Xenopus tropicalis: one gene and its partners. Each later gene encodes a partner of the first gene's protein in a complex. Links are inferred from orthologs where the notes say so. Each region holds a gene or a part of one and is shown in the gene's direction. Other genes may lie near its edges. The genes, in order: arpc3, arpc1b, actr2 and arpc5.

Region 1 (5,914 bases):
CTGCTTGCCCTACCCCTCCTGTGTGTGCCATACTCTGCCTGCCCTCCCCTGCCTATGTGTGCCATACTATGCTTGCCCTCCCCTGCCTATGTGTGCCATACTATGCCTGCCCTCCCCTGCCTATGTGTGCCATACTATGCTTGCCCTCCCCTTCCTATGTGTGCCATACTATGCTTGCCCTCCCCTGCCTATGTGTGCCATACTATGCCTGCCCCCCCCTGCCTATGTGTGCCATACTATTCCTGCCCACCCCTTCCTATGTGTGCCATACTATTCCTGCCCTCCCCTGCCTATGTGTGCCATACTATGCCTGCCCCCCCTGCCTATGTGTGCCATACTATGCCTGCCCACCCCTGCCTATGTGTGCCATACTATTCCTGCCCTCCCCTGCCTATGTGTGCCATACTATGCTTGCCCTCCCCTGCCTATGTGTGCCATACTATGTTTGCCCTCCCCTGCCTGTATGTGCCATACTATGCCTGCCCCCCCGCCTATGTCTGCCATACTATTCCTGTCCACCCCTGCCTATGTGTGCCATACTATTCCTTCCCACCCCTGCCTATGTGTGCCATACTATGCCTGCCCTATTGCACACACAGGCAGCATACAGTGACACAATGCTGGATGTGTCAGAGGGAATGTCTGAGGTGTGAACAGGGGAACAATGTGGGTGATTACAGCCAGAGCCTGAGGTGTGAACACTGCAGGGGGAAAACAATGAAGGCATTAAAAGGTGTGAACAGTACAGGGGATTACATGATTAAACAATACAGGGGGATTACAGCCTGAATCTGAGGTGTGAGCAATGCAGGGGGCAGTTAATCTCAGTACTGATACCATTTAAAGGTAATACACAAAGGTAAGCCATCAAAGCAGCCAGACAGGTGGGGGGCCACACAGAGGGGGGTCGCCAGGCCACCAGTTGGACAGCCCTGTTCTAGGGCAATGAGACACCAGTCATTTTGTTGCCCATGCAAGGGCAACAAAACAACTGAAAGACAATGCCATTACAGGCAATGCAAATTAAACAGATTGTGTGATAATGCCTTGGAGGGTACTTAAGCTGGCCATACACGTGGCGATCTGACGATGTTTCGTGCAACCATCGGTCGCACGAAACATCGTCAGATCCGCCACACACCATTCAGGGCTGAATCGGCAGGTAAGTAGGTAGAAACAATAGGATTTCTACCTCCTTCTGCCGATTCAGCGATGAAGGGAGATTTTGGTCAGGCGGCTTCTATGGCACCCGATCAAAATTTTCAAACTGGTCCGATCGGCGAGTCGGGCGATATCAGCAGCTTCCTGCGATATCGGTCGACTTGCTGACATACCTTCGTTTCGTACGATATTATCGGTGCGTGTATGGCCACCTTTACTCTAGATTATGCAATATAAAAAATTTTGCTGTGGCGATTTACATAGCCAGCAATGACAGATCATTTCAGTACAAAATCACCATTTGGTTCTAATCTGTTTACTCCCACATAGATCACCTGACAGGCAATAGTGCAGCACTTACTGTAACAGGGAGTGAAATAAACAGCTCTGTCTATTAGGTTCCTGATGTAAACTAGCACTGTGAGCACAGTACTTCATTTGAGGGAGAGGGCAGACTTTAGCACTTAAAATGGAAGTGTTTCAATATGGGATTGTTATGGCACATACTGCTAATATATTTAGGTATTTTATTTTTATGAAATCGCTTTGTGTGTATGAAACACCATACACAACAACCTTCTTTTAAGTGTGTGTTAAAACTCTTAGCATTTATGTACTATTATCACTGTCTAGTTTATAATAACCATACCCCTGTTTGTGTTTACACCTTGTAAAGCACTAATGTACATTTGTGGTTTTATATAATAGTGCAGCGGAAGCTTTGTGGGTTGCCATTCTGTACTATGCATGATTATCAGGGGGCTGGGATACAGGCCTGAACTGTGGGTTCTGACAAATGCCAGAGGGGCTACTGTAAGATGCCATAGACAGTCACTATATATTGGGCTGGTGGGGGCTGTTTGGGCCTCTGTGTACTTGAAATGCCAGGGCCTATTTTGAATCCCAGTCCAGACCTGCTGGAATAAATCATGGTTCTTCACATTGCTAACAGATGAAAGCCCCCTGAGCAGGTCACATGAATTTTGATCTGTTCTAAAAATGCCATAGGCCTTAATGTTTATTAGCGTGATTAGTTATGAAATTTGAGACTCAAAAGTAAAGCAAGGCCACACCTTTGTATAAAATATTGTTTCAAGGTCAAGTTTCAAGGTCAAGTATTGTATCCAAAATGTAGCTGTGCATGTTAGAACTATCCCACATAGCAATGACCCCCAGCTACTTCTGCAACATTATTTTACTCCTCCCTGAATGCTTAAAGGGGTCCTCCACGCACACAGTCTTTTGGATAAAAAGAAAACAATTCTAAGCAACTTTCATATACATAAGCAAAAGATTTTCAGTGGGTATAAAGTTATTTATAAAGATAGTTGTAATTGAAAGTACTGTTTGTTTATGTATTAAAACAATGTAACAGACCTAGAAGAGTTATGACAGATACTGTGTTCAGTAGCAATTACATTTACAAATAACTTTAAAACCATTGAATTTTTAAAATGAACGCATATTGGAAAGTTGCATACAATTACATTTTCTTTTACTGTGTAATAAATTGTTTTTGGATGGAGAAACCCTTTCATTTTAATGGTGATCCTTTTCTCTAAACGCAAAAGGATTTGGGTAACAGCATAGGCCTTAAAATCAGATATTAATTCTGAACATTATATATAAATCTTTTTATAATTGGTAATGTAAAACCGTAATTAGGAGAATTAGGATAAAATACTATAGAAACTGTCCACCTAATGGTACAGTTATTATGGCATAAATGTCTTACTGGTCAGCTAGTGGCTGCAGAAAATCTTGAAGGAATTGACTGAGGTATTGTGTAAGATTATACATTTCTAACAAAAAACAACTGTCTGGATAAAAAATAGTTTAATAAAAAACCTTTTCACACTGAGCATATATAGCTCTTAAAATGTTAAAGCTTTTCTGATTTGTGTTTCAGGCCTACCATTCAATGCTTATGGAGTCAGACACCAAGCTGATTGGTAACATGGCAATGCTACCCATAAGAAGCCAGTTTAAAGGACCAGCCCCTAGAGAAAGTAAGTCTTACCAACCCCAAATGTTTTACATAAATTCCTCATGTTATCCATGTGGCGGGTCTCAGCTTGCTGGAGGATTCCTCAATGCAACCAAGTGTTAATTCAGTAGTTCTCTTGGAATTTTTACTTTAGGCCCATCAATAGTCCGTGATGCAGTGATTGCTGCTTATTATGTAATATATATATATATATATATATATATATATATATATATATATATATATATAATTATATATTGTAATGCAAATAATAAAATTCTATATTGGAGATTATATGCATTATATAATGGGGTTTTGTGCTGCTTTGCATGTAGGTATATGTTATATATAGCTTTTTTTAATTGATCCATTAATGAGAGAGAAGGCATTGGGCATAATTTGCAACAAAAAAATATGAATTATGTTAATTAATGATATGTTGCCTATAGCAACCAATCAGATCTTGGTTGCTTGATCAAAGCGGATCAGTTGCTAAGGACAACTGCACTAGTACAATTGTTATAAATCGGCAAATATTTAAGTATTTAACTATTGCAAAATGAATATAAGTTTTTAGCTTGTATGAACATTACAGCATTTTTGTCCATAATCACTTTTGTATTTTGTCTTTCAAGCAAAAGACACAGATATCATTGATGAAGCTATTTATTACTTTAAGGCTAATGTTTTCTTCAAAAACTATGAAATAAAGGTAAGCTATCAGATCTCACTATGCAAAAAAATCTTACTGAAACGTTGCAAATTCTATATCCACATAGTGGGCACATTTCCTACTTCGCTTTATAATAATGTTTTTTTTCGCTAGTAAACAAAACTAATATTCACTGTTTGTATATAAACGCTTCTCTTTACAGAACGAGGCTGATCGGACATTAATATACATAACTCTGTATATTTCCGAATGCTTAAAAAAACTACAGAAGGTAAGATTTGGTAGCCTTTTTGTGCTACATACTACATGACTTAAAGGAGAACTATACATTATTAGGAAAAAAAAACTGACCAGCAGATAATTTATATCCCAAGTGACCTACGCATATACATGTATGTGTACTTGTATGTCACTCGTATCCACTAGTGCTGTAATGCACACCATCCCATTAGCCATGCATTGTATTTCCTTTGAATGCAGCTTAAAGAAAGCATATACATTTGTATGGCTGAAGTACTTTACACATAGCAAATTTTACCTGTCCCATACCATAAATGTTCTCTCTTTGTTTTGTTAGCTGTCCATTGTTTTACAAAAGTGCCTTTTTTATAGGCAGTGCTTCTGAATAAGGTTCTGTGTCTTGTTTAAGCTTCATTTGTGCAGAGTGCGAGATATACAAATGAACAAGGACAAGCCCTCATTGCTACAAATATGCACTTGGTGTATGTGTGAGACCCCTAAGCCAAGTTTATATTTACTTATTATAGCATGTTGCTGTATTTAAATTCTCTGTATAGTTTAATGAAAACAGAAAACATATGCTTTCATGTGACAGAAGTATCTCAATGTTGATCTAATGTAGATAAATAGGGCATCTGCTTTTTAAGTATAATTTGCCCTGTCAATGTGAAATCCTGTTGTTTTCTCGGGATACATTGTAGCCTTACATTCGTCTTCACCTCTGTGAATAATGGAAAACAGAAAAAATGTGCTCATGCTGTTTTGTTGGTTAATGTTTTTTTTTGTTGTTCTTCCAGTGCAATTCTAAAGGACAGGGAGAGAAGGAAATGTATACACTGGGGATTACAAACTTTCCTATCCCTGGAGAACCAGGATTCCCCCTAAATGCAATGTATGTGAAACCTTCCAACAAACAGGAGGATGGTAAGTAATCTGAGTTTTCTGTAGTGTAAAGGACCTTATGCCTAATTCCACAGATCAGTCTGTAAGGCTAATGTCCCACGGAGAGATTAGTCGCTACGATTTTTAAAAAGTGAGTTCCAGCGACAAGTCGCTCATTTTGTCTCTACATAGAGAAGAATAAAAATCGCCAGTACATAAAATGACAATACTACTTCAAATTGCTTATCGCTCCGAATCACTATGAGACCCTTTTTACAAAGAAATCACTGAGTGGGAAGTCGCTCTGATTTCCCCATTCACTGAATGTAATTTCTAATTGTGGGTAGGGAATACGACACCTGGATTCGTGGGAAATAGAATCGCTTTGTTGTTGAAATCTCTAGTTATCGATTGTTATGAAAAGACTTGCGACTTGTCGCTTGAACTCGTTTTTTAAAAATCGCAGCGACTAAATCTCCTCGTGGGTCATTAGCCTAAAGGTAGAGGCTTGCATGTAGTTAAAGTGGGTACCAGGTAGAAGCAGGCAGACATGCTAATTAAGGAAGGAAGGAACAGTGAAGTATGGTACTGGAGCAGGATATTAAATGAAGGAGCTAGCAGACATATATGTTATGAGATATTGACTTATGGTGGGGGGAAGGAACTGAAAGACAGGTTTGTTAACTGCGCATAGATACTGTTTAGTTAGTGTATTCTTAGTAACTGCAGTATTTTGTGTGTGTGTGTGTGTAGAGACATTGTGTTTTTATTATTAATGGTGTATGGTGGTGGGAGGGTTTCTGTAGTGTGAAGGTTTGAATATTGTATAATATATATAATAAAATAGTCCATAGGGTGCACACCATTTGCAGCAACAAAACCTGGGTGCTAGTACCAAAACAATCCACTGGAACAAGGACAACACTCCTAGGATTTAAAGAATTGTGAGCAACATGTAAATGCAAAAATCC
Region 2 (6,462 bases), on another chromosome or scaffold:
AATTGAACTGTTATACTGTTATACTATTTTATTTTTTATTTGGTAGCATAGGCAATTTTTTATATTGAAGGAGGAGGGAGGCACCAAAAATGAATAGTTATATAAATGATCCTCAGTCCCCATGCATTCTCAATTAGACAACAATATAAAGCAAGCCAACTAGCCAATGCCAAGGCACAAAGCAGAGGTATAATAATAAGGCACAATTATTATTAGGAATAAACATGTTAATAAAATAAATAAGTCTAGGGCTGGGAAACTGCAGAAAACCAAGTTGAGGGCAGTGGCACCTAATATATGCTGAGAGAGAAATGATATTGGTAAGGGCTCTGGCACATGGAGAGATTAGTCGCCCGCGACAAATCTCCCTTGTTGCGGGCGACTAATCTCCCCGATATGACATCCCACTGGCGATTTACATTTTCGCCAGTGGGATGTCATATTGGGGAGATTAGTCGCCTGCAACAAGGGAGATTTGTCGCGGGCGACTAATCTCCCCATGTGCCAGATCCCTAAAGGGTGATTTTTTGTTTCGGAAGGCTGTTTATAGTAATATTCTTTGTTTTTTTCATAATAAACTGGCACACAAATTCAGCTAAGTAAAATAAATGCTGTACTAACTTGATGCTTAAATGCAGAGCCAATTGCCCCTTGAAAATGTGGCAGATAAAGTGCATTGCCAACTCCATGTATAATGCTCAAGAACATAGTATTTTTATGCTTTATTTATAGCAGCAACATATTTCATGGCACCATACAGAAGATTATACATCATTCCAATCAGTTTCTGCCCTTGTGGAGCCTACAATCTACAATTCTATCTGGAGCCAATTAACCTGCCTGTATGTATTGGGGGGGTGGGGAGAAACTGGAGAAAATACAGACTAACATCTGCAAGAAAAAATAAAATCCCGATTCCAAATAATACCCCATAATTATTATGGATCAGATACAATATTTTTGTAATTTACTTAAAGGGACAGTAACACCAAAAAATGAAAGTGTATAAAAGTAATTACTATATAATGTAATGCTGCCCTGCATTGCTACAACTGGTGTGTTTTCCTTAGAAAGACTACTATAGTTTATATAATAAAGCTTCTGTGTAGCCAAGGGGGCAGCCATTTACAGGAGAAAAGGCACAGGTTACAGATAACAGATAAAACCCCATTATATTCTACAAAGCTTATCTGTTATCTGCTATGTGCCTGTGCCTTTTCTCCTTTTTCCCAGCTTCAATGGCTGCCCCCGTGTTGACATAGCAGCTCATTTATATAAACTATAGTAGCGTTTCTGTTGCAAACTTACCAGTTTTACCAGCGCAGGGCAACTGTACATTATATTTTAATTACTTTAAAGCACTTTCATTTTTTGGTGTTACTGTTCCTTTAAGCTTGTATAAGCACTGCACACAGACACACAAAGGAGTCTCGTTTAGATATGCACATAAAGGAATTCTGAAAACACACCCAGATCTCTCCCCTCCCCTTACTAAGCATTTCTCTCTATTTTGCTTCCGGTGCACTGGTTATATGAGCAGGAATTTTGGCCCCATGGAGATGTACTGATTGCCAGTGTCTGCACAGTGTTTTCTTTTCAAGCTGAAGTGTCAGTATTATCAGGCCCGGATTTGTGGCGAGGCCACAAAGGCCCGGGCCTAGGGTGGTATGCCGCCCCACCGCAACAAAATTTTGACATTTTGCACCCATACGGAGCAAAATAAATAAAAGATAGCATTTGGAATGTTCATGGAATTGACATTGTATTTGATCCATAATAATTCTGGGATATTATTTGGAATTGGGATTTTATTTTTTCCTCCCAACTGCTCCGTATGGGAGTTTAAATGCCCGTGCATGCATGCTTGCGTCGGCGCGGCGCAGGGGTGGTGGGTTTGTTCGCGCATGGGCGGCCTAGGGGCGCCAGGATTTGAAATCCGGCACTGAGTATTATTATACATATGTTGGGCACTGACGCACAGTTATCTGAAGTTCTGAATTTAGATCTCCCCTGACACACTGAGCTCTCTCTGTCTTTAGTTCCTGCCCTCCTCCTACTCCCTCCTTGGTTTAGAACAATTAAGTTAAAGAGGTCATAGTGGGACAGTGAGCCCTTAAAATCAATAGGCCATGGGCAGATTCCACATTTAACCCTTTTATTACAGGGGCCCTAGATGCATATTTACATGATAATGTCCTTTTATATTCGCCACACTCCAATTCAACCCAAAAAGGCCCTGGACCAATACTTTTCCAAAATCTATGCAAAAATGTATTACATTAAAATTTTCCAGCAATCTCCCTGTGCTGATTTCATCAGCCTAAGGAGCAGTAAGCTGAGGGGAGGGTTTTACTGTTAGTAATGCTTTCCTCTGTCTCTGAGCTTGCACTCCCCACCCCCACATAAGGAAGTAGCAAAAAGCCTGGGCAGAGTCTGATACAAGTTCCAGACATTCAGCATTCCGCTGCATCTGTGTTGACTGCTCAGAGTCCACGGACAGCAGCCGTCTTTCCCTGTACCTACTAACAGGAGCAAGTGAGTATTTCATGCAATATCTTTGTGCTACTTGGATTCTGTTGATCCTAACTGACGGTGCAGAAATTTCTCTTGTACTAAATATTTGCTCTGAGTTAGGGCGTATCCTGTAGCTTCATGGAGAACTCAACTTCCTCTGTGTGCTGTTAGTGTCTTATATATCTTCCTATACCTGCTTCTCTGCCGAAACCTTTACTTTTGTCCCTGTGGACTTGGTGAGCATCATTAAAATATTTAAACAAAAGTTACTACTGAAGTTTGAAAAGTCAACCTGCCCGGATCAAACCAATTGCAAAATCTTTTAAGGGAACCCTGCAAGAAATGAGTTATTAGTACTAGCCACATTAAACTTAAAAAAACAAAAAACACCCTTCTTACTTTATTGCTCTAATTCAATGCATTTTAAAATGCGCATGAGGAACCACGCCTTGACTTTTCAATCAGTGAGGAATACTCCTCTTTAAGGGTGAAAGGCACGCAGAGCTACTTGTCACAGCTACTAAAAGAGACAATGCTGATCGTTTACTGCTAATTGTGTCTCTGTGTGTTTTAGCAGAGGCAATAATCAGTATTGTCTATGGCAGGGTATTTTCTTTAGTAGCTGTGACAAGTAGCTGCTACTAAGTAGCTCCATGTATCTTCATCCTAAGGGCCCGTTAAGTTAACTCAAAGGTGAATAACCCCTTTAAGTATCAAGTTTGTGTGCCAGTTTACTATGGAAAAAAAAACAAAGAATATTCCTATAGCTTCCTCAAACCAGCTCTCTCTCTCCACGGATAAGGTGTGCATGTGCTTTTGCAGAGAGATGAGTGGCTTTTCATGTTACATTTCAGCAGCAGCCGGATTCGCTGCCCACCCTTCCTTAGTACCTAACTCGGTTGTCTGCACTTTGTTAGTCCTGGACTTATTTATTTTATTAACTTGTTGTGCCTTTTGGTATATACCTCTGTTTTGTGTCTTGGCATTATCTAGTTGGCTTGCCTTATATTGTTGTGTAATTGAAGATGGATAGAGATTGATAATTATCTATATTACTATTCATTTTTGGTGCCCCCTCCAATATAAAACATTGCCTAAGCAACGAAAAAAAACATGACTGGCCCCCAAATTATTGCCAATTAACATCCTAAGACCTTATGCCTCTGTCTTGGGCCTTGGCTAGTTGGTTTGCCTTGTATTGTTGTCTTATTGCTGAAATTTTGGGTGAGAATGGATAGCGACTGATAGTCGAATAATTTGGGTTGGGGGCGATGTGGGACACCGGCCTATGGGTGTTCTCAGGGGAAATCCGGCCCTGAAAATATCCCTGCTGATGCAGAAAACCTTAAATCACAAGTTGGATAGTATAGTAGAACTATAAGTGTTAAAGAGAAAGTCACTTCAATATGCCAAAATATTCTCTACGGACGAGTATGGAGCCTGCAGAGCTGTCAACTCCCCTTATTTCTTTGAGAGTTACCCAATTTTAAAGGCTCTGCCCCATTCTCCCTTCCCCCAGCAGTAGTCTTATGAATTCCTACAATGAATTTCAGACGAGCATTAAACATTCAGTGATGTCACTTGATGCATTTGCACATGTACAGGGAGAATTTTTTGGCTTCAGTAGCGATTTTGTGTGTGTGCGTGACGGCACTTCCGAAAGTATGTGTAACTTTGCTGCCGGGTATCGGGGAAAATTTTCGGGGGCACAGTTCCCCTGGCTAGTCTAGCTGTCACGTTGACAGCTCTGAACCTCCAGAATACTGAAGACTAGAGGGTTTCCAGATAATTGGTTTTCTGTAATTTGGATCACCATTCCTTAAGTCTACTACAGTTTCTAAATATACCGTGTGTATGTGTGTGTATATGTATGTATGTATGTATATAGGTAGTTATATCGCACTGCATAGATTTTCATATTTCCTCTCTGCAAGCCAAGGGGCCTCTCACCCTTTGAGCATAGTAATCTTTTTCCATTCCTTTGCTGGTCATTGATCGGATTGGCTGACATGTTTTGGCCAATCCGATCAGGAAAATGCAAATAAAAGGGGCATGTGCAGTACTGTCATTCTGACACAGCCAGAGGATCAGTGACCCTGGAACATGCACACATACTCATGCAGTACATGTTTCTCTAGACTAGAGGAAAATTTCAGGTGACTTTGGGAAATCGTAGCGACGCGTATTCCATCCCACCGGCGATTTACGTTCTTGCCGGTGGGATGGCATTGCTGGGAGATTGGTCACCCACAGCAACAAAGATTTGTTTGCGGGGCAACTAATCTCCCCATCTGCAACTGCCCTTAGAATCCAAATCAAGAGTGAATCCAGTGAGTGAGCATGGGGAAGGCAGTAATGGGGAGGCGCTACTGATGTGTGTGTAAATGTGCTAGGGAAGGTAGATTAGAAACTTCCCTCTAATGCAGAGTTTAGTGGTGTGACCACTTCCTGTGAGAGAATGAAGAGACACTCCTAGTTTCAGCCTAGACTCATGCAGCTCTTTTGCAGCTCTTGCCAAAAAGGTAAAATGCTTTAAAAATGTATATTTCTGCATCATTATTGTGAGAAGGGAAGAATAATATACCTGAAGATGAGTATTGCATAACATATCCCCTTTAATAAGGTAAAGAGAAGTTGATGGTGGTAAAGCTCTGAAATTCAGCAATGTATCAATTAATGTGTTTTAGTTGATACACAACAAAATTTCATATACATTTTTAAAAAGATTTTCAGATATTCTTTGTAACTAGACTCAGGTAGACTGTAAATGGAATATTAAACTGGTGAATACCATCAAATGCAAACAACTTTAAGAATGAGATGAGAAACCAATTAAACAACAGACATTATATTTTTGACTTGTTTAACGAGGAATATGCAGAAATCTTTTATAAAGTGTTCAAGTACCACTGCCTATTTTTCTTTTTACTGGAGAACCACAATAATAAGGGTAAATATTAGGGATGCACTGAACCCACTTTTTTGGGTTTGGCCGAACCCACCCTGATGGAGTCTGCTGAATCCTGAACTGAATCCTAATTAAGCATGTGCTAATTAAGATTGGAAAGGGTTGAAAGTTGCCGTGTACACAAATAAAATTCCTTAAAACTCCTTTCTGGGTGCTAATTAGCATATTCTAATTTATGCTAAGTAGGATTCAGATTCGGTTCGCCCGTTACCGTGGATTTGGCCGAAACCGAACCCATCAAAAAAAGGCTGGATTAGGCCCGAACCCCGAACCTAATCCGGGATTCAGTGCATCCCTAGTAAATATGAAACAATCTGATTGGTGACTTGCCTCATCTGTCTAAATGGCCAAACTCCTTTATTTGTTCAGAGCCCTCCCTGTCTGAGTCAATATTATTTGTTTCCACTAAAAAGAAAAATCCTTCAATTTATCTGGGGCTTTAAGTATTATGGAGTAAATAAAGCTCCCTTTAACTGTTTACAGAACCAAGGTAGTGCCAAGGTTTCACACTTAAATGGAATAAATGCCATTTTTTGACACAAGATCATTTAGTTGGGCTTATGCAGATAAGGTGCATAAACTGATTTAATTCCAGAAATAAATCTTTTTTACAGACCTATCTGATTACACAAATTAAAAGTAAACCATGATACTCATACCAAACAATTCCATACCCATCTCAGGCTCACCATGTCATAGAACCTCTCTCTTACTTTCAATGTTCCATTGTCAAGTTATAGTTCCATGGACCTAACGTCCCTTTGCTTTCTGCGGTGCACATATTATGTACAAAACGTCCCAGAATCCATCACTTCACAATGGAATGGAATGAGATGAGGGAGGACTTCAAACAAATGAAGATCTGCTCATTTGGTGAGGTTACTAAATGTGCAGATCTTTCTTTGGATCCTAATTGCAGCTATGTAGGCCATTAGATCAAGGACTGCATTAAAGCACAAGAGAAAGCAACACAAGCACAA
Region 3 (5,914 bases), on another chromosome or scaffold:
AACTGGAAGCTAAGCAAATGTGTTGGTATGCTAAAGGCCTTATCAAGGTGATTTCTTGAATCAGGTTTGTTAGCATAGGCTGATAGGTTTGATAGGATAATCAGTCTACCAGGTACACTTACACTGTCAGGGTACTGTCAAATAATATTTTATTTAGTATTTACCAGTTGCATTCACACACAAACTAGACCACATTAGTATTATTGTGTATTTATAAAGCTCCAATATATTCTGCAGCGCTGTAAAAAAAAAAAAATAATGTGCTGTCAGTAGTATATTGGCATGTATATGTGGCCAAAGGAATGGCATGATCAAATGATATCTCGCAAGTTTAAAAACCTCATAACGCAAGGACTTCATCAACTGGTTATGAAGTGTTTTAGTGTCAATGGTAAACAAAAAAACCCTAGGGGGGCAGTTAGTTACTCTTTTACTGGTAGTCCCTTTAGTGCAGGGTTCCCAAACTTATTATACCTGTTTGCCTTATTCAAATGGAAAAAGTGTCAGGGAGCAGCACAAGCATGGAAACATTTCCTGGGGGTGCAAGCAAGAGCTATAATTGGCTATTTGGTAGCCCCTATGTGGACTGGCAGCCTACAGAAGGCTCTGTTTGGCATTTTGCCAGGTTTTTATGCAACCAAAACTTGCCCCCAAGCCAGGAAATCAAAAATAAGCACTGGCTTTGAGGCCACTGGGAGTAACATCCAAGAGGTTGGTGAGCAACATGTTACCCCTGAGTCACTGGTTGGGGAACACTGGTTTAGGGCCTCGGTCTCATAGAGCTGAATCTTGAGCAACTTTGCCATAAGTAGAATTTTTCTTTATAGTATGTGTTGCCATGCATAAACATGCAGTTGTTTTATGGTGGGCGTTAAAAGTCAGAAATTGAAAAAAGTCAAACTAGGAACAAGATGAAGTCCAAAGTTAAATATTTTCAACTATTTTTTTCATTAGAGGATTTTTATTACTAGAACTTAGTAAATGTGTAAATGCTTTACCTTTCTCAACAGTTTTGTTTTAGCAAGGAATCCTCTAAAGCTTTTCAGGATGCAGTCTAATGCACCTCTAGGCCTACAGCTAAAATACAGTATGGTAATGAACCAGTGACGTGCAGTCTGTGGCTATTCTTATACCTACTCCTGGGACACACACAATCATACCACCCTGAACTGCTGCCATTTACTGGTTGGCTGTGGGTTTGTTTCTTTTGTTCAGCACCAGTAGTTGAGGGTGCATTAGATTGATCTAATTTTCAAAATTTAAAAGGCCTATGCGAATATATACCCACCAGTATCTGAATGTGGCTATTTGATACCCAGTTACAGGGAATAGGCTGCTGAGCTTTTGTGCTCTTCCTGGGCAAGTAATTTTATGCAGCATCTTAAATGGCATTACATTTCATTTTTATACACACATTTGAGAGCTATGTTTGCTATGATTTTTAGGATCTGATGGTCGGTGATGAAGCCAGCGAGTTGCGTTCAATGCTGGAAGTGAACTACCCCATGGAGAATGGTATAGTGCGGAATTGGGATGATATGAAGCACCTTTGGGACTATACCTTTGGACCAGAAAAACTGAACATAGACACCAGAGACTGTAAAATCCTGCTTACAGAGCCCCCCATGAATCCAACTAAAAACCGTGAAAAGATTGTTGAGGTATGTTATCCCTTGTACATTGACACCATTAAGTGACCAGAAACATCAAAAAAGTATCTGAGTAATTAAAATATAATGTACTGTTGCCCTGCACTGGTATAAGTTGTGTATTGGTTTATAATAAAGTATAAATAAAGTCTAATAGTGCTTCTTAAACAAAGCTGCTGTGTTGCCATGGGGGCAGCCATTCAAGCTTTAAAAAAGGAGAAAAGGCACAGGTTACGTAGCAGATATCGGGTAAAAAACCATTGTATTTTACAGACCTTTTCTGTTACCTGGTATTTAACCTATGCTTTTTCTACTTTTTTGTCAGCTTGAATGGCTGCCACCCAGCTTATTTGTAGTAGTAGTTTTGTAGTAGTGTTTCTAAAGCATATTATCCCCCCCCCACATTAATTATTATTGCTTAGCTGTGACCTGGGCTAGTGCTTGTGTTTGTGGAAATCTTCACTGCCTTAGGAGCTCATTTTTTGCCATCTTCTGTTTGGCCCCATTCAGGGCACGCATGGGTAGTACTCTATGGTACAGATTTTGGCAAAAAACAGGCATTAGGAAAGTTTATAATTGAGCTTATACTTATACTTATATGATCTTTATAGCACTTAGTATAAAAGTGCTCCTGGTGCCTATTTAGTCATATTATCACTTATTTGTCTTACTCCATTAATTTTTTCTTTTTTTTTCTTTTATTTAAGCAGTATAATAACGAAATGTATAAATTCTGTTTACAGGTAATGTTTGAGACCTACCAGTTCTCCGGTGTGTATGTAGCAATACAGGCCGTACTCACATTATACGCACAAGGTGGGTGATTTCTGAAGTTTTGTCTGTATGTATGAAATATTGTCAGAATATTTTCCCCTTGTAATCTTTTACATGAGCCGTAGCAGTGTGTACTTAACGCTGATTACCCATTTTCACACAAGTTTCACAAACAAATTCTGCTTGTAATTTATTTTACTTGGAAATGTGAATTTACAGGACTGCAATGCACAATACTGAATCTTGCTTATTACATTGGAGAGACTGCGCTGTTTAGTTTCTCTTTGCTCAGGTTATGAGCAAATTCAGGAAGTTGTTTCAACATGGCTGCTATATTATACCTGCTGATGGCTGCTGATTACTGGTGGCAACACCAGTAATACATTCATAGAATTTCCAGAGAGCCTTTCACCTTCTAATATTTCTGTTAGACGAATATAGTGGTAAAATAAATTATAGTCACACCCTTTAAATTACTTTTCTGTGTTACTCCAATAAATAACAAATGGCAGTCGCTGGTTTTATCACTACAAAGTACTGGCCACATACCATAAGGCTTATGTCCCAAGAAGCAAGTTAGATAGATCTCTGTTGCCATGGGCAACTAACCTCTCGGTAATGGCTTTCCACCGGCAGCAAAAGGAGTTATTCACCAATGGTAGCAGAGATCTATCCTGGGCAACTAACATTGGGACATTAGCCTTAGTGCCCCATCCTCTCCCTTCCAACAAAATGAGAGGGGGCAAAAAAAGATCAAGCTATCTCCTTTAGTTAAAATAAAGGATAACACAAATATTCAGTTCTGTTACAAGCATGGAAACTGTTTTATAAATAAAACAAATAGTCCATCTTTGGGCTTCTTAGATGCTGGTTCAGTTTATTTGATGTTATGATCTATTGCAGGCAAGTGCTTAATGTAGCTGACTAAGTATAGGTACATCCTTTTGTTGTTTATGCTGTTGGTACAAATTTCTGTAAATTCAGCATGAGCCATATGTCATTTCACACACACGGGTAAAAGCGTTACCGCACTTAGATAATGATCGACACTGGAGGCCTCATACCTGTTGCCAGTAATATGTCAGTAACAAATTGGATCTGTAGGTGGAACTGAAGCCGGTTTATTAATGTTGCATGTTTGTTCACTTCAACTTCTTTCTAGGTCTCTTGACTGGTGTTGTGGTTGATTCTGGAGATGGTGTCACACACATCTGCCCTGTGTACGAAGGCTTCTCTCTGCCTCACCTCACCAGGAGACTAGATATCGCAGGCAGGGATATCACCCGCTACCTTATAAAGGTAAAATTAAAGAAGGTTTCATTTTATCACTCCTGCCTGTCATTGTTGCTAAAAATGGGTAATCTGAGAGATTCATTTATATAAGTGCTGTCCTGCTGGATTTTATTTATACTGCAACTCGAATGATATTTTTGATATTTCTAATGTGAAGTCAGAATTGCCCTCAGAATTGTGCTAGTACTGTTAAACCATTCCTATTTAAGTTAATGTAGTCCCTTCCAATATCACTGGACTTTAAAAATATATTGTGCTGCCTGGTAGTTTAGAAAAACATGCATTACATGGCTGCGTATAACAAGGGTACTCAAGTGTCTTAGTGATTTTTAACTTAATAAGCCCTTTATCCATGATAATTTCTCCAGTATAGTGTGGTATACTCGTCAGTAGATTTACGCTGTATTTTGACTGAAAATAAACCTTCTTGTATATTAGACACCCTTCCTAACAGTAAGGATAAGTAAAGCAAATGCAATGCATGCTTAGGGTTCCCCCGCTAATATAAAATATAAATTTAATGTAATCTATTGCATGATTGCTATGGTAAATGTCACTAACAATCCAGTTAGACTAAAAATTTCTTCTGAATGCAGTGTTTAACCACACTAAATGGGGCGAAAAAAATAAATCCTAATAATAGCACTGTATGCATCGAATGTAAAATTTAGTTGTGTTAAACCTCTTATTTAAATTTAAAAAGCTTTCATTTAAATTTGAATAAATACATTTTTCTGTTACAAAACACTTTCACAAGTGAACATATAGATAAGCTTGTATAACTGTTTCCAATGATGTATTTCAATCTGACTCCTGCAGTTGCTCTTACTACGAGGGTATGCTTTCAACCACTCTGCTGATTTTGAGACTGTTCGTATGATCAAGGAGAAGCTTTGCTATGTGGGATACAACATTGAACAGGAGCAGAAACTTGCGCTAGAGACAACAGTCCTTGTGGAGTCTTACACAGTGAGTACCATACTCCTCTCCCAAGCATTCTGTAAACAAAGTGTTTGTGTTTCTTTAAAGATATGAAAAGCATTCTCTCTGTATCAGTGGTGTAACTAGATGTTTTAAAGCCCCCATCCACTGCCATCTAAAGAGACCCCTCCCTGCTCCTCGCAGAGTCTTTCAGTGAACAGTGTCTCTGATAGTAAAACTGCTCTATACAAGCAGAACAGTGCAGCGGAGCTAGCAGACAGCATCTTCTGAATCTTCGTGTTTTCTTCGGATCAGATCGGCGACACAGAGCTTGCTGGTGCATGCACGGTTAGAAATAGTCTGGGCTTTCCGTCAACTATACATGTGCCAACAAACTCTGTGTCGCCTAACTGATCTGAAGAGCACTATTGCACAGTTACCAGTGCAGGGCAAAAGTACAGTATAGTTTAAAGGACATGTAAACCCCACACACAAAAATGTAATCAGTGAACAGCCTCTTTGAAATCTTTCAATACCTGCCACACTGGTTGTCCAGAGGTTAATAGTAAGGCTGCAACATCTCCTTAATCACTTAGATTTCCTTCTCCTCCTGTAACCCAATTGGCCCCCTCCCTCAGGAACTTGCTTTGACTTCTGGCTTGTGGGCATCCTCAGTTGTTCTAAGCTCAGATTACTAAACACGCCCCCAGTCTAGCAGCCAGTGAATAGATGGCATTGCTGGTTCCCATAGAAACTCGGCTCTAGCTGTCTGCTTCAATTTTTTTTTCTCCTAACTTTCTCTCCTGAGCTCAGCTCAAACAAAGCAGATCTTTTATCAAAGACAGTTCTGCCTGTGTGAGCTTGTATTCTTGATGAAATGTATGCTGAAAAAGGGTCTGTGTGTGTGTATGCTGCTTGCAGATTTAAATGTGTCTGATTATGTATCAGAGGAAAAATGGCCACCGGGTGAAAGCTGCTATTTGCTTTAGGAAAATGTGATGATGCTGGCAAACGGAGGGGATATATGCAGTACAAATAATGCCATTTGGGTGGGGGAGACGTGCCCAACTGATATACATTATAGGCAAATGTAGGCTTTACATGTCCTTTGATTACTTAAAAACATGCCACTAGAAGCCATAATAAAGTGCCACTTTCTGTGGTGTCTTGGGGGGGATGAAAGGTAACTGTAAATGTTCCATTTTTATTTTTATTGCACAGCTTCCAGATGGCAGGGTTATTAAAGTTGGTGGAGAGCGTTTTGAGGCACCAGAAGC
Region 4 (6,413 bases), on another chromosome or scaffold:
TACTGACGTCACATGTACACACGGGGCGCAACCATCCAGATAGCCAATGACAGGGCCCGGATTTTATTAAAGGGGGCCTGAGCGACTAAGAAAACTGTAGCGCCGCCGGGCCCCCTTTAAAAGTAAAAATTGCCCGGGCCCGGTACAGCTGTCCCCGCTGTGCCCCCCTGATGGCGGCCCTGGTTTTGAGAGATACAAAAACATAAGTAACTGGAATTTGATATTTGTATTTTGCTTTAAGTCCCACAGCAGAAAATTGCTATAAAAATGTTGTTATATATATATTACTATAGAGCTCATTTATGTCTGCATGCACAGTGGGCAACTTGCACTTTTCCCTGCAGTTAGCAGGGCATAAAAAAACACTTCCATTACAGGTTACAGTGTTAATATTCACAGCTTAGTCCTCTTAGTCCTTAGACCATCAGGTGCTGCTGGCCTATTGACAAATGAGCTACAGCCACCTCTGGACTAGGTGGTAGCTCCACTGTTCCCTCAGCACCCTGAATTAAGTGGAACAGATAAGTTGCCCCCAAAAAATAGGGTGCACAGGTCACTCGCACACTAAATACCAGAAATTACGTGAGCCAGACTTCAAAAATATTCCCTGCAATTGTGCCTTTTCATGGACATGGATTAGCTGACTACATTCATAATTTTTGGAATTGGCAAAATTCTGAATATTTCATAAAAGACTTGTCAAAATACTTATGCAACTCCAATCTCTAATGTCCGTGTGCAAATTTGAGAACAATCAATAAAATGCAATATCTATGAACAAAATTTCTGTTTATTTCAGTTATCCTGGATTCACTGAATCCCTGTTGCAAACCAAACAACTGAAATAACATAGAAATTGCATATGTGACAAATTTACAATTGTCCAAATGACGCTTTTTTTATTGCCACCCTACATAGAAATGAGTTTTTATGTCATAAAGTTGAAGTAGCAACATTTTGCCTGTACATGAGTTTGACATTATGAACACCACCAAAGTGTTGCTTATGATGAGAAAAAAACTCACATTGACTGATTTTAAACGGTACTCCAAATCCATGAAAATGGTGTCTAGAATGACAATTTACTGTGTATAAAATCACCATATTAACCAAATGCAGAAAGACTTTTAGAATCTGTCTTTTTAACAACAAAAAAAGAAGAAAGTGTGCCTAGTAAAGCCTGTCAGGCAATGGAAGGGCATAGTTGCTCCTGTGTTCCCATTCTTATTACTGTTTGACGCTATATTGAGGTTTTATGTCACCTGTGAGAACTGGGCAGGAAACTTTTTTGCCTTCCTCTGGATCAGCTACCAGTTAGGCAGGTTATATATAGGCATTATGGTTGAACTTGATGGACATATGTCTTTTTTCAACCTAACTTACTATGTTACTTGTTAGGGGTCCACAACCCGGGGGGCAATAATTGTCTGCCACAGGATATTCTTTTTTTTTTTAATTCTATATTTACACGTCTTTCGTAAGGGCTGTGACAGACGGGGAGATTAGTCGCCATGCGACAAATCTACCTTGGTGCAGGCGACTAATCTTCCCAAAATGCCATCCCACCGGCTAGAATGTAAATCGCCAGTGGGATGCCATACGCGGCGCTGAAATCGACAAAGTTTCCTCTCGAGGCAACAGCCCCAAGGAATGGAGGAGGCTCAGAAGGAAAAGGGGGAGGGGGTAGAACAAGCAAAAACTATTTTATATTAAACACTAACATTATAACAAGATCTGACAACAAGCCATTGCTATAGTACCATTACATAAACTATTGGAACATTGAATTAAGGGGATGACAACCACAGGATATTATATAAAACATGCTATTGGAAATACACATATTCCATCAGCATATGCAGCAACACAGACTTCCACAAAATGCACTCAATACACTTACAATACCTAACTTTATTTATTTAGTCTGGATTTATATAAACACCCGTCCTGCACTGCGTGAAACCCACAAAACGGTGAGGACTTTGCCAGAAAATCCTTTTTTTCTGTACAAAAGCAGTCCAGCAAGCCATGCCACAGTTTTTTTTACCATGCAACAGGTCAGGTCACTGGAAAACACCAAACTGATTATCCCCTGACACCTCCACCGCCCAGGTAAATGTACTACCCACGGGCCCAGCCTGAGTGTCCCGCCTGGGTAAAGCCCACAGAATAGACTGAACGCTTTGATACTGCCTTAATCCCGGCAGAGGTAACCACACCAGCAAAACTAGCGCTCTGACAGTCTCCGGAAGCCGAGAATAAAAGCGGAAGCCGCTGCGCCTGCGCATTGAGTACGACCGCTCCCTGCCAGCAGCACAGAGTCTCCGGTTCGGGATGGCGAAGAATACGGTGTCTGCACGCTTCCGGAAAGTAGATGTGGATGAATATGATGAGAACAAATTCGTTGACGAAGAGGAGGCGGGAGAAGGACAGCAAGGACCCGACGAGGGGGAGGTTGATAGCGCGATTCGGGGATATCCTTGTATGTTGTCTGTGCTGGCAGGGCCTGGCATTGTACCTTTGTATGAACAGACATGCTCCTAATCGCCTGACATATGGGCTGTACCGTGTCATAGTGCTAACATGCTGAAGGTGTGCGGTGTCACATGGAGAGGGCTGACTGCCACTGTTTCCACTATTCCTGTCATGCTTTGTACTCATCTTCATCTTGCAAAGCCTATACTTCCCCCTACACCCTTCTCTTTGTTTGATCTCCAAGCTAAGGTTTCAGGAATATCTACTAGAATAAACTGGCATAGTCCTGATATGGTAGCCTAATAAGCTTTCAAACTGGAGTCAATACACATTTGCTTTTGTCTATGCACCTTGTCATTTGCTATGTGTGGATATGCAGAAGCTGTGCATACCAACTCCAGTTTGCACACTGACTCCATATTACATACCTAAAGGATCTATGGCAAGCAAAATACTTGCAAACCGTATATAGAGGCTCTGCTGTGTAGGAAATGTCAGTAGTTAATCTCCTTTTCCTACAAAGAGGAACTTGCTGTGAGGCTGTGGGAGTGTCAGTCACTTTATCCTGTGCATTTTGTTTCTTTTTCTCTGTCTATCTAAACAAAAACACTTTCTTTCTCACTCTCTCTCTGTTTGAAATCACATACATTTACATGCTTTCTTATCGGTGTTTCCAAGGGTGGATAATACAATAGTGGACTTTGAGCCAAGTTACACACAGGTTGAGCACACAGTTAAACACACCTTGATGGTTCTGTAGCAGTTATTGGTCGTTGTGGTGTTATAGTACAAGCTATATGTTTTTGTGAGGCAAGCTTGGTCTTGCTTCAGGTTTAGGAATGCAGGAAGTGGCTCAGTCTCAGTCATCAGGAAGCATGGGAACTTCTGCTTGGTTGGCTTTTTTTACACTTTTGTCCCAGATCTATATTTTTTTCATTAGTTTTAACACATTTTCAATTCAGACCATATTTCCATATATATGCACAGTAGGCTTTTTCAGATTTATGCTAATATTAGGCCAGGGCCATATAGGGATCTGTGAATATAAAGCATCAACTGAAATTGTTCTGTAATTATTGTATGGCATTTCTTTTGTGTCAGTACGTTATTCCCTTAACAGCTTGCTACAGGAAACATGATGGGAGCTCTGCAAGCTGCTCTAAAGAACCCACCAATTAATACCAAGAATCAGTCTGCCAAGGTAATATGCTTCTAGTAAAATACAACAGGAAACAAATTGTTATTCATTTGCTTATTATTTGCTGAAGGATAAATAAGGTAGTTATAAAGTGGCGTATTGGGTACAGAATATACATCAGTCAGTGCTTACTTCCTCTTTGCTTTTTGTTCCTCCTGCCAATAGTTTTATTGCCACACTATTTTATAAATTATATTCATATCTTACTTTCAGCCAAACTTATTTTGCTGCACTTAATGCATTCTGTACCAATAATCAGCCACTACTCAGTTGGTCATACCAGCAAGTTTTCCAATACAGTTTTACAATTTTCTAACTCTTTATTTTAAATTTTGGAGTATGGACATTGACTTTATCATTGCTTTTTACTTAGGATCGAGCTGAGCACCTGGTGCTGAAAGTTCTAATCTCCTTTAAAGCTAATGACATAGAAAAGGCTGTTCAATCTTTAGACAAAAATAACATGGACCTCTTAATGAAATACATCTACAAGGGCTTTGAGAGTCCGTCTGACAACAGCAGTGCTGTCTTGTTGCAGTGGCATGAGAAGGTGAGCAAAGTACTATGGAGCTGACAAACACATCAGGCATGCAGAGTAGGCACCTCTATTAGGTCATCATAGTCGGAGAGAGAGAAAGGGGGACTCATAAAGCAAAAGGGGCGGGGCTTCACACTAGACAAGGAAGCCGGTAAAAGAGATGCAGCTCATCTGCTTGTAATAGAGAGACAAAGTAATTCTGGATGCAGGGAAAAAAGGTATGTTATTCTGGGGGCTAAACAGAGTAATTTTAGAGTAAATTTAGATTAAAAAAAAAAAAAAAAAGGTTTACTTATTCTTTAAAGGCATACAGTGCCTTCCCATATAAGTAGATACCTTTTAATGCTGATCCCTCTTCTAAAAATGTTTCAGACCCTGTAGGTCTCCCCTAGCAGCAGTTGTTAGGGACAAAATTATCCATGAAATCTGATTCTATATTTTTGAGTGGTAGCAGTAACTGAGCAGTTTTGGAACACTGTTAACAGCACACTTCATGCCCTCCCAAAACTTGTTCAGTGAGGGAGCATGTACACAAGGATTTAACTCCTAGGGGCAAATTTACTAATTTGTAATGATCTGTATTTTGAGATTTTTTTTGTCGCCGTCGCGACTTTTCCGTCGCGAAAAAATCGTACTCTCGTGCCGAGTACGAAAGCGCTCAATACGAAAAAGTTGCGACAACTCGCGAAAGTCGTAACGGCTACGAAAAAGTTGCAACAATTTGCGACAATTCACGAAAAAATCGCAAAATGTTCGTTTCCAATCCGATTTTTCGAGTTTCTTCTTTATGGCAAAACTAAAATATGGCTTTAACAAAATAGTTGGACAAACCCAAGCAGGGTCTGTCCAGATTGACAAAATGTTGTCACTGAATCTAGAGGGACAGGAATAAATGATAGCACAGCCTCTTCTTTATACAGCTGTCACGTTTGGTCAGAATGCTAATGTATTGACAAAACCTTTTAAATAAACTCCTTATGGGTACTTTTGTATTAAAAAAAATAAGGCAACATTACCAATTAGCTGAATACATTACCACCTCATTTTTACTTTTGCCTATGTTTTTCTTTTCCATAGGCTCTGGCAGTGGCAGGCGTTGGCTCCATAGTCAGAGTTCTGACTGCAAGAAAGACCGTTTGAATGTTCATGTTTTGTGACAAGGAAGAGCTGGTGCCAAGACCAAAATCCTGTGCCGCAGCTAAGCTGTGGCAAGCCAACCCTTAACTCTTCGCTGCCACATTTCTATTCTTCCTTCTGTTTTTTGCAGCTTTGATTTTTTTATACATTTTTTGAACAAAGCAGTACAAGTGTGTGCTGTGAGTGCAGTGCTCTGTTGACAGAAGTATTAAGTTATCTGCATTTCATTACCTGCCCTTAATGAGCTGGGCTCTTCTGAATAATCACCCTTCCCCAAAAATATGTGGACTGATAGTAAATATAGGCACTTACAGTGCTCCCTTCACCTACATCTAACTGCACCTTCTAACCTCATTAATTCTAGGGCAAAAGCACCAAACTTGGTCTTAAGTCAAAGTCACTGTCCGTTCCTCTGCTTTGCGATTTTCCAGTCAGCTAGGAGCATACTCTCAGGAGTGGCGTTTTGCAATCTAAAGCTTTTATATCTCTGAACAGATATCTCCGATACATATCTTGGAGGAATCTGGATTTCATTACATTACTCCCTCAGGGCCTAAATGTTTAAAAGGGATATTTTGCGCTTGATGCAGCAGACAGTGCTTACTATGCAGCTATAGCAGCCTTTTCCCAAATCAAAAAGCAGAGATGACTTGATCACATTTACAAGTTCATCCATAGTCTGTTTATAAGTAAGTGTAAGTTACTTATAAGTAAGTAACATATAGTTAGACTTTGGGTCTTTAGGGAATTTGTCTGTTTTTCAGAACTTACCTCTTAATTGCCTAAAAGTACTTACTGACACTGTGCAGCCAATTGCCATACATCCAATAATGGCCTAAGATTACATTTTGGTTTTTATTTTTCCAGTAATAACAATAGAATATTTGAATGGGTTTCCTGTTTGTGGATTAAACAGGCATCTCGTCATTTTGGGATACAGCTGCTTTAGTTAATGAGCTAAAACTCCATATGAGGGTTTTATGACAATCCATAAGTATTCCAAGTGCACAGTAGGCTACTGGCTATTTGTCATTTACAACACAGCTAAAGGATGAAAAGCTTAAT

Evidence for each region.
Region 2: arpc3 (region 1) and arpc1b share a complex: the UniProt entries of both Homo sapiens proteins name them as parts of the arp2/3 complex. The link is inferred for Xenopus tropicalis from reciprocal best matches to the Homo sapiens genes ARPC3 and ARPC1B.
Region 3: arpc3 (region 1) and actr2 share a complex: the UniProt entries of both Homo sapiens proteins name them as parts of the arp2/3 complex. The link is inferred for Xenopus tropicalis from reciprocal best matches to the Homo sapiens genes ARPC3 and ACTR2.
Region 4: arpc3 (region 1) and arpc5 share a complex: the UniProt entries of both Homo sapiens proteins name them as parts of the arp2/3 complex. The link is inferred for Xenopus tropicalis from reciprocal best matches to the Homo sapiens genes ARPC3 and ARPC5.

Annotation. Positions count from the first base shown.
Region 1 is NC_030677.2:162,788,637-162,794,550, reverse strand, and holds part of arpc3 (actin-related protein 2/3 complex subunit 3), read left to right. Parts: intron 1-3,070; coding exon 3,071-3,170; intron 3,171-3,783; coding exon 3,784-3,860; intron 3,861-4,023; coding exon 4,024-4,092; intron 4,093-4,858; coding exon 4,859-4,985; intron 4,986-5,914. UniProt on the Homo sapiens protein: Component of the Arp2/3 complex, a multiprotein complex that mediates actin polymerization upon stimulation by nucleation-promoting factor (NPF).
Region 2 is NC_030685.2:41,788,599-41,795,060, forward strand, and holds the start of arpc1b (actin-related protein 2/3 complex subunit 1B), read left to right. Parts: upstream 1-2,406; 5' UTR 2,407-2,535; intron 2,536-6,462. UniProt on the Homo sapiens protein: Component of the Arp2/3 complex, a multiprotein complex that mediates actin polymerization upon stimulation by nucleation-promoting factor (NPF).
Region 3 is NC_030681.2:31,965,454-31,971,367, reverse strand, and holds part of actr2 (actin-related protein 2), read left to right. Parts: intron 1-1,445; coding exon 1,446-1,661; intron 1,662-2,392; coding exon 2,393-2,465; intron 2,466-3,585; coding exon 3,586-3,722; intron 3,723-4,535; coding exon 4,536-4,685; intron 4,686-5,858; coding exon 5,859-5,914. UniProt on the Homo sapiens protein: ATP-binding component of the Arp2/3 complex, a multiprotein complex that mediates actin polymerization upon stimulation by nucleation-promoting factor (NPF).
Region 4 is NC_030680.2:99,902,163-99,908,575, forward strand, and holds the start of arpc5 (actin-related protein 2/3 complex subunit 5), read left to right. Parts: upstream 1-2,307; 5' UTR 2,308-2,334; coding exon 2,335-2,474; intron 2,475-3,603; coding exon 3,604-3,676; intron 3,677-4,046; coding exon 4,047-4,223; intron 4,224-5,288; coding exon 5,289-5,351; 3' UTR 5,352-6,413. UniProt on the Homo sapiens protein: Component of the Arp2/3 complex, a multiprotein complex that mediates actin polymerization upon stimulation by nucleation-promoting factor (NPF).